Arabidopsis thaliana: one gene and its partner. The protein of the gene in region 1 interacts with the protein of each later gene in a pairwise test. Each region holds a gene or a part of one and is shown on either strand. Other genes may lie near its edges.

Evidence for each region. Proteins that work in one complex are often made in the same cells at the same time.
Region 2: the proteins of AT1G30440 (region 1) and PHOT1 interact in a two-hybrid assay, tested with the Arabidopsis thaliana proteins (one study listed by BioGRID).

Annotation. Positions count from the first base shown.
Region 1 is NC_003070.9:10,757,001-10,762,953, forward strand, and holds AT1G30440 (Phototropic-responsive NPH3 family protein), read left to right. Parts: upstream 1-1,742; 5' UTR 1,743-2,474; coding exon 2,475-2,533; intron 2,534-2,724; coding exon 2,725-2,794; intron 2,795-3,239; coding exon 3,240-4,481; intron 4,482-4,572; coding exon 4,573-5,199; 3' UTR 5,200-5,429; downstream 5,430-5,953. Other genes in the region: CCC1 (cation-chloride co-transporter 1), read left to right, coding at 5,905-5,953. UniProt on the Arabidopsis thaliana protein: May act as a substrate-specific adapter of an E3 ubiquitin-protein ligase complex (CUL3-RBX1-BTB) which mediates the ubiquitination and subsequent proteasomal degradation of target proteins.
Region 2 is NC_003074.8:16,814,709-16,822,720, forward strand, and holds the start of PHOT1 (phototropin 1), read left to right. Parts: upstream 1-2,012; 5' UTR 2,013-2,207; intron 2,208-3,638; exon of another isoform or gene 3,639-3,835; 5' UTR 3,836-3,848; coding exon 3,849-4,549; intron 4,550-5,088; coding exon 5,089-5,271; intron 5,272-5,544; coding exon 5,545-5,636; intron 5,637-5,731; coding exon 5,732-5,999; intron 6,000-6,094; coding exon 6,095-6,317; intron 6,318-6,414; coding exon 6,415-6,485; intron 6,486-6,573; coding exon 6,574-6,680; intron 6,681-6,763; coding exon 6,764-6,813; intron 6,814-6,936; coding exon 6,937-7,041; intron 7,042-7,124; coding exon 7,125-7,184; intron 7,185-7,280; coding exon 7,281-7,447; intron 7,448-7,540; coding exon 7,541-7,625; intron 7,626-7,711; coding exon 7,712-7,792; intron 7,793-7,896; coding exon 7,897-8,000; intron 8,001-8,012. UniProt on the Arabidopsis thaliana protein: Protein kinase that acts as a blue light (BL) photoreceptor in a signal-transduction pathway for photo-induced movements.

The sequences.
Region 1 (5,953 bases):
CTATTCATGGTTTTGTTCGGACTTGTAAATTTATATTCTTTCTTTCTTTTTTTCACCTTTTTGTTTGTAAAAGCAGAATGTGAGGTAAACTTATCATGTAATTTACTTTTACATACACACTAGAGAGTGAACACGTAATGATTAGCTCAAGGTTTATGAGCATGGGAAAAAATACAATATTAGACACCCTCAAAATGAGATCTCGATTTCACTCTTCTGTCTAAGATAATTTAAACTTCCATAAAAAACTACTTGTCTTTAGTAGATACATATAAAAAGTAGTGGTATACGGTTTCTGTTTTTTTTTTTTTACAAAGAATTTGAAAAAAATGGAATTGACTTGTGGATGTGGGGGTGAGTGTAGATCGACAAAGGCAGAACATAAACGCATGTAAAAGGAAAGGTGCTTTTTGTGTGTGGACAAGGAGCATAAAAAATGTTTAAAAGAAAGAGCATTCCAATTTCAAGATTTCAAGAATCCTAAAGACATAAGGATAAGACACTCAGTCACTCACACTTAGCTTCGCCGTTTAGGTCCTTATCATTGTTCACCATTGCATGCGTATTTTTGTTTATTTTTCTTTTAATTGTTTTTGTTCATAGACATGTATATAGATTATTATCGACGTAATATAAGTGCATAGTTAGAAACCGCATTAAAACTTCAAAATGAAAACAGTTTAGTTTAAATCGCTAGAGTACAAATTAAAGGTTGAAATAATCCTTAATTATATGTTTATTGAAGTCGTTGGTTCAGTTTTTTTTTGTGGGAAGTTGAGAAGTACAAAAAAGTTAACCAAAGAGAAGTCAAAAGTTCACGTGGGCTAGCTGGTTACTACGTACGTCAGCCGAACTAAAAGACACTTCGTCGGACAACGAAGCTTCAACCACATGCTTAGATAAGTATAGTACTACGGACAAAATCACATTCCATCACCAAATAATAATAGAGGAATATTTTGCTATAAAATGTCTTTCGTGACTTCGCCAAGTGCGTTCGCATATTGTATCGGTTTGGATATTCAGAGATATATCTTTCTCTCTGTATACATATATAATCTTTTGTTCTTTTGTAAACGATATAGTATGTATGTAGAGCGTCATGATTAAATAGTGGTTAAAAAGTGGCAGAATGAAACTCCATAGATAATACAATTTGATTCCTAATTTTGATTAGCAAGAGGACTCCTCAACTATACATACCGTTATCACTTAAGACATGAATGCGCCAAACTATTTAAAGCCACCCATGATTTTACACCTACTATATACGCACTCCTTCGTGACTATGACAAGTCGGCGAGGTTATTCATGAAATATTGAAGTGATCCACGTTCTGAAAGTTATGTGTAACAAACGTACGTAGATGACTAGATGATATAGTTTGTATACGAGTTGAACACTATGTGTTAATGATTTACTACATAGGTGTTTACAACAGAACATATATCCATACGAAATTTTTTGAGATCGAAGGTCACGAAAATTATCATAAACACATAGTGTTCAACTCTAAGTATAAATGAATCAAAATCTAAGAATAAACTAGTAAATAAAATATTTTATTTAATTATCAGAATTCAAAATTTTGAGATAGGGAGTGAAACACTTAAGTATATATAACCGCAATCGCACGCCAAAAGTTAGTGGGAAAGATTGGATTCTTTGAGTAAAGATTAGGACAAAATTAAACCCCACATTTAAGAAATGAAATTGGAAAACAAAAGTGTATTTGCTAATATCAAGAATCAACACAATGAGTATGTTTGAAGATACAAATGACCCCACATGCGTGCATGTGTTCATCTTAAACAAAAGAAAAGACTCATTAATCTCTTAATCTCGAGATTTTCAAATCTCCATCATCTCTTTCCTTTTTCTATATCACTATCGATTAAATGAGTTTCTAAAGTAACCAATACTGAAATTATCCAATTAATAATTCACTTTCTAATTTCTTACAAGACCACAATTTTGCCTTTATTTAGTTTATAATATTTAATGTTTGGGGGTATATGGTCCCCTTCTTCCATGTATATTCTCTCGTATAAAGAAGCTGGTAACTTCTGCTTAGCTGTTCTTGTCTAGCTGTGCTCTTGGGGTTGGTTTCTTTTCTTCTTTTCATTATTTTTTGTTTGAATTTGGTGTTGGAGATAAGATTATTTGAGATTCTGGGTTTCTAGTGGTTTTGCTCAAGGGATCTGTTGTTGGGTTTAGGTTAATTTCTGGTGTTAGTTCTGTTACTGAATGTGGAGAAAGGAAGCAGCTTTAAGTGTTTGTTAGAATGTCTGAGTGAAATTGATCTGTTTTTATTATTATCTCGATCTGGGTTTTGAGGGATGAATCCAAAGTTTCTTTCTATCTGAGAAACTCTGTACATTAGGGTTTTGATTTTAGTTGGAGGGAGTTTTTTTTTAGGGTTTTGGAGGCTCAAATTTCCCTAGTTTCTTTGTTGAATTCTGGTGAGAGAAAGAATGGCTTGCATGAAGCTGGGATCCAAATCTGATGCTTTCCAGAGACAAGGCCAGGCTTGGTATATTCACTTGACCTCTCTCTGATTTTTATATTGTATTTTCGTTCCAAGTTTGTGCTTCTAATTGAGCAGACTTTGGTCTGGATTTGAGACCATGGTCTTTCTTTTAAGGCAAATAGCAGCATTACTGAGTTAAACAAAGCTCATTCCTTTGTCTGACTTTGTCTTCTTTGGTCTTTTGCTAATTGCAGGTTTTGCACAACTGGACTTCCTAGTGATATTGTCGTTGAAGTTGGGGAGATGTCTTTTCATCTCCACAAGGTACAATTTGTTAAAACACTCTCTTCTCGAAACACTGTGGGATATTATTGCATTTATCTGGACTAATTATTGGTCTTCTAGAATGTTATGTCCTTCGGCATTGTAAATATCTGTACTGCTAATGTATCAAAGTTGTGTTTGGTTTCTATTTTCCTTTTCATACATTGTGTTTTATCAGTCTTGTGGATAAAAAAAATCGTTACTGCTGTTCCTTGAAAATTTGGTTTTGAGCTCTTTATTTTCTTCTAATGACTAATCACCAGTGTCTTGCTTTTGGTTCCTACAAAACTCAATTCAGTATCTGTAGTTTTGGCAATGCCTTGCTTCTAATAATGAGAACTCTTGACTCTTGTTGTAGAAATCAGTCTCTACTAAGCCTTCTCTTTGAGAAAGAATGTTATTACTTGCAATCTCTCATACTTATTTTTAAAATGGCTATCTGCAGTTTCCCTTGCTCTCTAGAAGTGGAGTCATGGAAAGAAGGATTGCAGAAGCATCAAAAGAAGGCGATGATAAATGTCTCATTGAAATCTCTGATCTTCCTGGTGGAGACAAAACGTTTGAACTAGTCGCTAAGTTCTGCTATGGTGTGAAGCTTGAACTCACTGCTTCTAACGTTGTATATCTCAGATGCGCTGCTGAGCATCTCGAAATGACTGAAGAACATGGGGAAGGAAATCTTATTTCTCAAACTGAAACATTTTTCAATCAAGTAGTCCTCAAAAGCTGGAAAGATTCAATAAAAGCGCTTCATAGCTGCGATGAGGTCCTCGAGTATGCTGATGAATTGAACATTACCAAGAAATGCATTGAGTCACTAGCCATGAGAGCATCGACAGACCCAAACTTGTTTGGATGGCCAGTTGTGGAGCATGGTGGGCCCATGCAGAGTCCAGGTGGCAGTGTTTTATGGAATGGGATAAGCACCGGGGCTAGACCTAAACATACTAGTTCAGACTGGTGGTACGAGGATGCATCGATGCTAAGTTTTCCCCTTTTTAAGAGACTTATCACGGTGATGGAGTCCCGCGGCATTAGAGAAGACATCATCGCTGGCTCCCTAACCTATTACACACGAAAACACTTGCCTGGCTTAAAAAGACGACGTGGTGGACCTGAATCTAGTGGTCGTTTCAGCACACCTTTGGGCTCAGGGAATGTACTGTCCGAGGAAGAGCAGAAGAACTTGCTTGAAGAGATCCAGGAGCTTCTTCGTATGCAAAAAGGTTTAGTTCCAACCAAGTTTTTCGTTGACATGCTTCGAATCGCCAAGATTTTAAAAGCAAGTCCGGATTGCATAGCCAATTTGGAGAAGAGGATAGGGATGCAGCTTGACCAGGCTGCGTTGGAAGATCTTGTAATGCCTAGCTTTTCTCATACTATGGAGACCCTATACGATGTTGACTCTGTGCAAAGGATCTTGGACCATTTTCTTGGGACAGATCAGATTATGCCTGGTGGGGTTGGCTCTCCTTGTTCTTCAGTAGATGACGGGAATTTAATCGGATCCCCACAGTCAATAACACCAATGACAGCGGTTGCAAAGCTGATTGATGGGTATCTTGCTGAAGTTGCTCCTGATGTCAATCTTAAGCTTCCAAAGTTCCAAGCTTTAGCTGCTTCTATTCCTGAATACGCCAGACTCTTAGATGACGGACTCTATCGTGCAATAGACATTTATCTAAAGGTAACACTCAAAAGAACCCTATCAATCTCCTATGTAACAGGTTTCTTTTCACACAGACAGATTAAGTTTTCTCTCTTTTGATGATTCTCAGCATCATCCATGGTTGGCGGAAACAGAAAGAGAGAATCTGTGCCGGTTGTTAGATTGTCAGAAACTCTCTTTAGAAGCTTGTACACATGCGGCGCAGAACGAGAGATTACCGCTAAGAATAATCGTCCAAGTGCTCTTCTTTGAGCAGCTACAGCTCAGAACCTCTGTAGCTGGATGCTTCCTGGTCTCAGACAACCTCGATGGCGGATCAAGACAGTTAAGAAGCGGAGGATATGTAGGAGGACCAAACGAAGGAGGCGGAGGAGGAGGAGGATGGGCAACCGCGGTAAGAGAGAATCAAGTCCTGAAAGTTGGAATGGACAGTATGAGAATGCGAGTTTGTGAGTTAGAGAAAGAATGTTCCAACATGAGACAAGAGATTGAGAAACTCGGTAAGACGACAAAAGGTGGTGGTTCTGCAAGCAATGGAGTCGGTAGCAAGACTTGGGAAAACGTTTCTAAGAAACTCGGGTTCGGTTTTAAGCTGAAGTCGCATCAAATGTGCAGTGCTCAGGAAGGTTCTGTGTCTAAGTCTAACAACGAGAATGTGAAGATAGAGAAGCTAAAGGATGTTAAAGAGCGTCGTGGGAAGCATAAGAAAGCTTCGAGCATTAGTTCTGAGAGGTGAAAATGGTAAATTTCCACGGTTCAAATGTCCAGTTACTGTGTGTTTGGACATTGTTTAGCTAAAAAAAACAAAAGAGAGCTTCCATTGTTAAATGTGTGCATTGTAGGCTTGTAATCATGTTTCTTTTTTTCAATTGTTTATGTAACTTTGACTACCAACTATTTTGTCATTTTTATATTTTTATTTTAAACCTCTAAGAATATTGGAAAGATTCAAAAATTACTGATAACGAATATATTAATTAACTATGTAATAATCAATCTTCATGACCACAAGGATTATTAAGATAAGGTTTACTTTTTTTATACTATACTTATTGGGGAGTTTCAGATTTGATAAGTTTATGTCTAGCCTTTAATTAATGATTTAGAGTTAATCAAAAATAAAATCTGGAAGACTTTGAACTGACCAAAAAGACTCTCATGCTAAGTAATTGAAGGACATTTCAGCCGCCAGCTTGACCCAATTAAAAAGCCCATTTTAGTTTTTCTTCCCTTTGTTTTCTCTTATTTTAATTTTACCTCAGTTTATAATATTTTATTCTCTGAAATCTGAAAAATCATCTCTTCTGAAAATTTTGTTTTCCGTTAATTCGTCGAGTCTCTCGATCTCCGTTCTCATCAGATTTCAAACTCTCCGATCTCGGATTCCGACGAGATATTAGTCTCATTGTCGAAAGAGATCTGTTCCGATACGGCGTGAGAAATGGATAGCGGCGACATTGAAGAAGCCGGCGGGAATGGCGAAGAGGAAT
Region 2 (8,012 bases), on another chromosome or scaffold:
TAAATGAACTTACCTCAACAATGCTTTTTTTTTTAGAATCAATGATATTTAAGGGAGAGAGAAAACAAAACAATTTGTGTTAATGTAAACATTCCTACTTGTACTATCAGTAGACCAACATCGTATATTTTACCAAAACAATATATATGACGATAGAAAAACAATGGTAATTAGAAAATATTAAATTTTCCTAATGTAGATATTCTTGCATATAGTAACTACTAACCAGTGTCATTATCCCATCTTGAATCTTGATTTGTCTAGGGGTTAATTTAGAAAATGGGAGAATTTAAGCGGCCAATATGTGAAGATTGATGTAAACTAACCAGTGTCATTGTCCCATCTTGAATCTTGATTTGTCTAGGGAAGAAAAAGGGGTCAATTTAGAAAATGGGAGAAGTTAAGCGGCCAATATGTGAAGATTGATGTAACATTTTCAGCCCCCACCACACACTCAAACCCACAATGGACACATGATGGATAAGATTATAACCCGTTAAGATCTTTTTTTCTCTTTGATCAATCTTCACATGGGTTCTGGTCCTACTTGTATATGAAATGTTACCATACTCTCCTCTTTGTATTATACCCTTCACAAATTTTGTCCATAGGGTTTCCGACAAAAGGGTTTGAATCTGAACTGTTCTGATATTTTTAACCAAGCCTGATAGTGATCGTGATCGCTTGGGATGACCAGTCTGTAGTGGCAGATCCATTTTTGTTACCGGGATCATAATATAACTTTTAAGAGAAAAAAATGTTACTGAATTTGAGTGTAGTGGGGTCATTATATTAATACCAAATTTTACAAATGATGATACTGTTTTTTTTTTTAACAATATTTACATGCAATTAAAAAATATTTAGTTATTCAATCTGAGACGTATCGGCGCTATGCCATTGCTAGTCTATATTTGTTACACCGTTAAACTAGTTACACATTGCTTTTTAGAATATGCAAATGATCAAATGCATGGTTGTTTAAGGTTGGATTTTTATTTTTTTATCCAAAGTTTAAGGTTGTATTTGTGCCCATGATTTGATAGCATACCAAATCGATTGGGTTAACAACTGCTATATATTCTTGCAATATATTTTGTTTATGCATCGTAATGTATAGGGAAGTTATCTGCTAATTAATAATTAGAGTGATTTTTGGAAAACAAAATAGAGACAGAATTAATAAAACCATTTTAAAGAGAGAAAGTTTTGACAAAAAAAAAGCGAGAGAAAGTTTTGATAAATCAACCAAAAATGCATATAACAATGACATGTGATTGCTTTTTAATTTGTTTGTGATTTCTGTACCGATCTCCATGTTCGATTTCATCACTAAATCGGATAAAAGTGTATGTTCTTCTTTAATGTTTTTGCATGAAATATCTTGCAATGCATAAAGACTGAGATTTCTACCATTACAAAAGTGGAAAGAGAACATCTATGTAATATTGGGTCTCTGCATTTGCATTTGGGAACGGTTTTGGCGTTTTCAAATGACAACTCACTCCCACTTATAGTCACTGACACACACAGAAACTTTTAAAAGAACAACCATCACTCCACACACTTATGTGTTCTTCAAATGTTTTATTTATCATTTACTTCAATTATACGCACAAGTTACAACAAGCAAGTTTTTTTGTGCAATATTCTCTTTTATAATCCTGTTTGTCCTATACCAAAACCTAGATTAATCACTGTCAAACCAACATCATAAAATTGTTGGTTAAGTCATATAAACCATTCGTTTCCAATAAGTGCCATAGAAATTGAATATTGAGCATAGTCAGAATATATATTTATGTTTGGTCTGGTTTTGTTTGACAAAGAGAGTATATTCAGGTTTATAATCTAATTATCAAGACAGAGTTATACAGAAGATAGATAAACGATACTAGTGTTACGTTTCTATACAATCTTTTGAAAGTAAACAAAAGAAGCCATGTGGAATCAAAAACATTCGAAGCATGGGAAGATCAAATAATCCAGTGATGGAGCTAGAACGGAACTAAATCAATCATGAAACCTAAATAGTTTTTTAATCTTTCTAGAATCTCTTCTTATCAAAAAATTTCCTTATTTGTATAAAAAGCCTCGGGAAAGTTAACTTCTCATCCCAAACTCATTCCTCAGTTTATCTCTCGACTAGAGAGTGAAGGAAAAATCGAAGGATAATCTGTTTCTTCCAGCACAAGTTAACTTGCAAGGTAGTTTTCTCCCTTCGATTTATACTGTCTTGCTCACTTTCTTAGGCTATTTTTAGGACGATTCATTTTTTTAATTTGTATGTTATTCATCTTTTTAGGGTTCTTGTCACATTTTCGGCCTTAATTTGTATGTGTAAAAATATAAATAGTGAAGTAGATATCATTTTATATCGTCTAGCACTCTAGCTACTAGCTTGATCTGAAACTAGTATATATATAAATTATTTGAATGTCAGCTTTTTTTTGTGAAAGTCACACATCACATGGTAGTTGCATATTTCAAGAACTCAACTGAATTCGATTTAAAATTTCTCCAATCATAATTCATAAAGATATGTATTTCAATTTTTTTAAATAAAAATAGATTTTCCTATTTACCATGAAATTTTTTACTCTTTTTATTTGTTCTCATATAAATAGAGTGATAAACTATTTTACAAAGTTCATTTATGTGGAAATTGATAAAATGACAAGAACATGAAAAAAAGACAAAGATTTTTAGTTGAAATCTGTGATCGATCGAACAGAATCGGTTCAGCTACTGTTTTTGTAATAGAACAACTGTCCATTTTTATACCAAAATGACTAAACCACCCTTAGAAGATGCATGTGTTGTGTGGTACTAAAAACTCAAAAAAGCATTGAAACTTTACACCTTTGTGTCGTTTTCTCAATTTTACCCCCGCTTCATTTGGAATTGTCACTCTCAAAATTGGCGTATTTTCCAGTTCATATCTTCATTCATCTATGGCCCCATAAACCATAACTCTTTGAACCATATTTAATAATGTTACCTGCATGCATATACATTCATATAAAACATGTATTCATTATCATGTTAGATATGTCTAGTCTATTATTTCCCAAAAGAAAGACACCTAAGAGAGCAAGATTCTTGTTATTCATGATAACATTTTTGAAGATTCAAAAAAAATGAGTGATTGATGAATTATTTATGGTCAGCATCTAGTAAAATCATATCGACATATCCAGTCAGCCTTAGTAGAAATGCACCAAAGTGATATAGAGTGGATTTCTCTCGATCCGTGTAGAAATGGACCACCACATTGTCTGTTTAGAATATTATATTTTTTTGTATAAAATTGTAGACATAATCTCTTATTAATAAATATTTAATGCAAGTTAGTTATTTTTAATTTTATGAAAAGAGGTTAACTCCAATATGTACCATACTACTTGAAGAAGTTAAATGACAAAAAAAAATATAAGTAATACTACCATTTCCATATATTGTACTGATATTTCAAACTTTAATCAACTTTCCTTTCTATTTCTCCTTCTTTTTTTATGGTCAAACCCATTCTGTTTATGACTAAACATATGACATATCTAACCGTTATTAATTAGTTCACATATCACATATTTGTATAGTGTTTTCATTTTCAGTAATCAAACCATCCATCTACCACAAAAGAACTTGGTCATGTGTCCATTTTTAGAAATCAATAAAATATTATACCATATATTTATAGTATCTAACTTTAAGAGAATAAATATTTTTATTTGCCGATTCATATACACACACATGCGTGTGGTATCTATGTCTATCCATTAAACTAATTATATATAAACTTATTTTCTGGCCACAATTTTTGTTTCGTGTATAGAGAGAGCTCAAAGATGGAACCAACAGAAAAACCATCGACCAAACCATCTTCTCGGACTCTACCTAGAGACACTCGTGGCTCTCTCGAAGTATTCAACCCGTCAACTCAGCTGACCCGACCCGATAACCCGGTGTTCCGTCCTGAACCACCAGCGTGGCAAAACTTGAGTGATCCACGTGGCACCAGTCCTCAACCCCGACCACAACAAGAACCAGCTCCATCCAACCCTGTTCGGTCTGATCAAGAAATCGCTGTCACGACCTCATGGATGGCTCTGAAAGACCCATCACCGGAGACAATCTCCAAGAAGACGATCACCGCCGAGAAACCACAGAAGTCGGCGGTGGCGGCTGAGCAGAGAGCGGCAGAGTGGGGATTGGTTTTGAAGACCGATACAAAGACGGGAAAGCCACAAGGAGTAGGCGTGAGGAACTCTGGTGGAACTGAGAATGATCCTAACGGGAAAAAGACTACATCGCAGAGAAACTCGCAAAACTCTTGCCGGAGCTCCGGTGAGATGTCGGACGGAGATGTTCCCGGCGGGAGGAGTGGGATTCCAAGAGTATCGGAAGATCTAAAAGATGCGTTGTCGACGTTTCAACAAACGTTTGTGGTCTCAGATGCTACAAAACCTGATTATCCGATTATGTATGCAAGTGCTGGTTTCTTCAATATGACTGGTTACACTTCCAAAGAAGTCGTCGGCAGAAACTGGTAAAAAGTTATTCAAAAAATTTTAGAGCATTTTTTTAATATATAAAATACGTTTCGTTTTCTGTAATAATTACCAAAATTGCAAAGTTTTTTCTAATTAAATATCATAGTTTTGTTTTTAGGTTTATGGTTACTATAAATGTATAAAGATATCTTAAATGACTTAGTAATTCTTTCTAAATTTTCAAAAATTAAACCTAACTTTATTTTATTTTTTTAGAACTTTTCGAAACTGTGTACCAAAATTACAAAGATTAAGTTTTAGGTATGGTTATCCTAAATGATTTAGTAACTCTTACTAAATTTCTAAAAACTTTTTATAAACCTAATTTTTATGTTGTTTTTCCAAACTAATAGCCTTTTATAAACTAAGTTTATTTTTTAATGATAACTTAAAATATTTCTTTTAAATCGAACATTTCTTTGCAAATTCGAAAAATTTCTTACAAAAGTTTCCACCATTTTTTGTTCAATGAATGAATTTTATTTACAAAAAGAAAGAAGAAAAGAACATAATTTGGGTTTTTGTTTTATTGTAGCCGATTTTTACAAGGATCAGGTACAGATGCAGATGAGTTAGCAAAGATAAGAGAGACATTAGCTGCTGGTAACAATTATTGTGGGCGTATATTGAATTACAAGAAAGATGGGACCTCTTTTTGGAATCTTCTCACGATTGCTCCCATTAAAGACGAGAGTGGCAAAGTCCTCAAATTTATCGGGTTAGTCCCTTATTCCTTTTTATTTACTCGTTTCTCTCCTTTATTTCTTTCATTCAAAATGTCACCCTTTTTAATGGGTCTAAGTGTGGACCTGTGATTTGTGTTGCTTTCTCCGCAATAATTCAAAGATTTGTATCACCGACGGATCCTATTGTAGAATAACAAAAGAGAATAATCAATCAGGAAAAAGAAAAGAATTATAGAATCTGATAAAAAAATATGATTTTGAGGAAAAATCAGAAGATACCAATATGTTTTGTTTATTTGGACCAGAATGCAAGTGGAGGTGAGCAAGCACACTGAAGGGGCCAAAGAAAAGGCTTTGAGGCCCAATGGGCTTCCGGAATCTCTGATTCGATACGATGGTATTTACATACTTTCTTTTTCTATTTGTTTTTCCAAATTTTTTTCCATTTATTATGTTTTCTTAAAAATATTTTCAAATTTTGTTTTGTAAAAGCCCGCCAAAAAGATATGGCGACAAACTCAGTGACAGAGCTAGTAGAGGCGGTGAAGAGACCTCGGGCACTAAGCGAATCGACGAATCTCCATCCCTTCATGACAAAATCGGAGAGCGATGAACTTCCGAAAAAACCAGCTCGGCGAATGTCCGAAAATGTTGTTCCGTCAGGCCGAAGAAACTCTGGCGGCGGAAGAAGAAACTCGATGCAGCGAATCAACGAAATTCCCGAGAAAAAATCTAGAAAATCTTCCCTTTCCTTCATGGGGTAATAATCCTTACTAGATCATTTGTTTACCTGACAATTACTTTATAAAAATCGATTTAGTCTTTGATATGATTGTTGTGATACTCTGGTGATAGGATCAAGAAGAAGAGCGAATCTTTGGATGAATCTATAGACGATGGATTTATAGAGTATGGAGAAGAAGACGATGAGATTAGTGATAGGGACGAGAGACCTGAGAGTGTGGATGATAAAGTGAGACAAAAGGAAATGAGAAAGGGTATTGATCTAGCTACTACACTCGAACGTATCGAGAAGAATTTCGTCATCACTGATCCTAGGCTTCCCGATAATCCCATTGTAAGAACAAATGTTTTAGAAAAATGGAAACTTTTTTTGTTATGTTTCATTTCGATTGGTCTGAAAACGTATTGTTTGCTTTGTCCTATGTTTCTAGATTTTTGCATCTGATAGTTTCTTGGAGCTCACGGAATATAGCCGTGAAGAAATTCTTGGAAGAAATTGCAGGTATTACATGAATGTGATCTCAAAATGTCTTTTGAAAATATTTTTGAGCATAGAGCATGTGTTTATAAATTTTGTTTCATGGTTTTAGGTTTCTACAAGGTCCAGAGACTGATCTAACCACAGTGAAGAAGATTCGAAATGCTATTGATAACCAAACCGAAGTGACAGTTCAGCTCATCAACTACACCAAGAGCGGTACTCGATTTTTTCGATATTCTTAGATTAATCTGTCGATCATTGTATAAAGTTTTAAATTTACATTATATTCTCTGTGGCAGGAAAGAAGTTCTGGAACATTTTCCACTTGCAACCTATGCGTGATCAGAAGGTATAATGGTTTACATAGATATCTTGCATTATACGGCACCTTCAAACTAATCCTCAATTTCTTTTGGTTTATGAATTTAAAACTGAAGATGTCTATATTCTTTCTTTGATATGTTGTTGACAGGGAGAAGTACAATACTTTATTGGAGTTCAACTAGACGGGAGCAAGCACGTAGAACCAGTTCGCAATGTCATTGAAGAAACCGCAGTGAAAGAGGGAGAAGACCTGGTCTGGAATCCTAAACTATTGATCTTGATTTAGTATTCGTTTGATAGAAAATCAAGTATTAAACCTTAATCTATATTCTTTAGGTGAAAAAAACAGCTGTGAATATCGATGAAGCGGTTCGAGAACTTCCTGATGCCAACATGGTAAGTGATTGTCTAAGGATCTGAATATGATCATTTTAGATTAAGGTTTATTAGAATATATCTGACAGAATGTTTTATTGTGTCTTGTTTCTGAAGACACCAGAGGATTTATGGGCAAACCACTCAAAGGTTGTTCATTGTAAGCCTCACAGGAAAGATTCACCACCATGGATAGCTATCCAAAAGGTGTTGGAAAGTGGTGAACCGATTGGTTTGAAGCATTTCAAACCGGTGAAACCTTTGGGTTCTGGTGACACAGGAAGGTCTGAAACTCTATCTAATCTAATGAAATAGCTTACAAAAAAAAAGAACATTTCCTTCATTAATCTTATAATATCCCATTTGTGTTTTATCAGTGTGCATCTAGTGGAACTCGTTGGAACAGATCAGTTGTTTGCAATGAAAGCAATGGACAAGGCTGTTATGCTTAACCGAAACAAAGTAATTACAGTAACTTGCACTTCAAGGAATCTTGAGTTTCGCTTTTTATTTGTAAGTTTTGTAGCCACTGATATAATTTTTTGCAGGTACATAGAGCTAGAGCTGAGAGAGAGATCCTAGATTTGCTTGACCATCCTTTTCTTCCTGCACTCTACGCTTCTTTTCAGGTCAAAACCTCTGTTTACACATATATATATATATATATATATATATATATATATGCGTGTCTCTTTGGTCTTTGGTTACTAATGGATCATGTTTTATTCTGCAGACAAAAACACATATATGTCTTATAACAGATTACTATCCAGGAGGAGAACTCTTCATGCTCCTAGATCGACAACCTAGGAAGGTTCTCAAAGAAGATGCTGTAAGGTACAAGTGTTC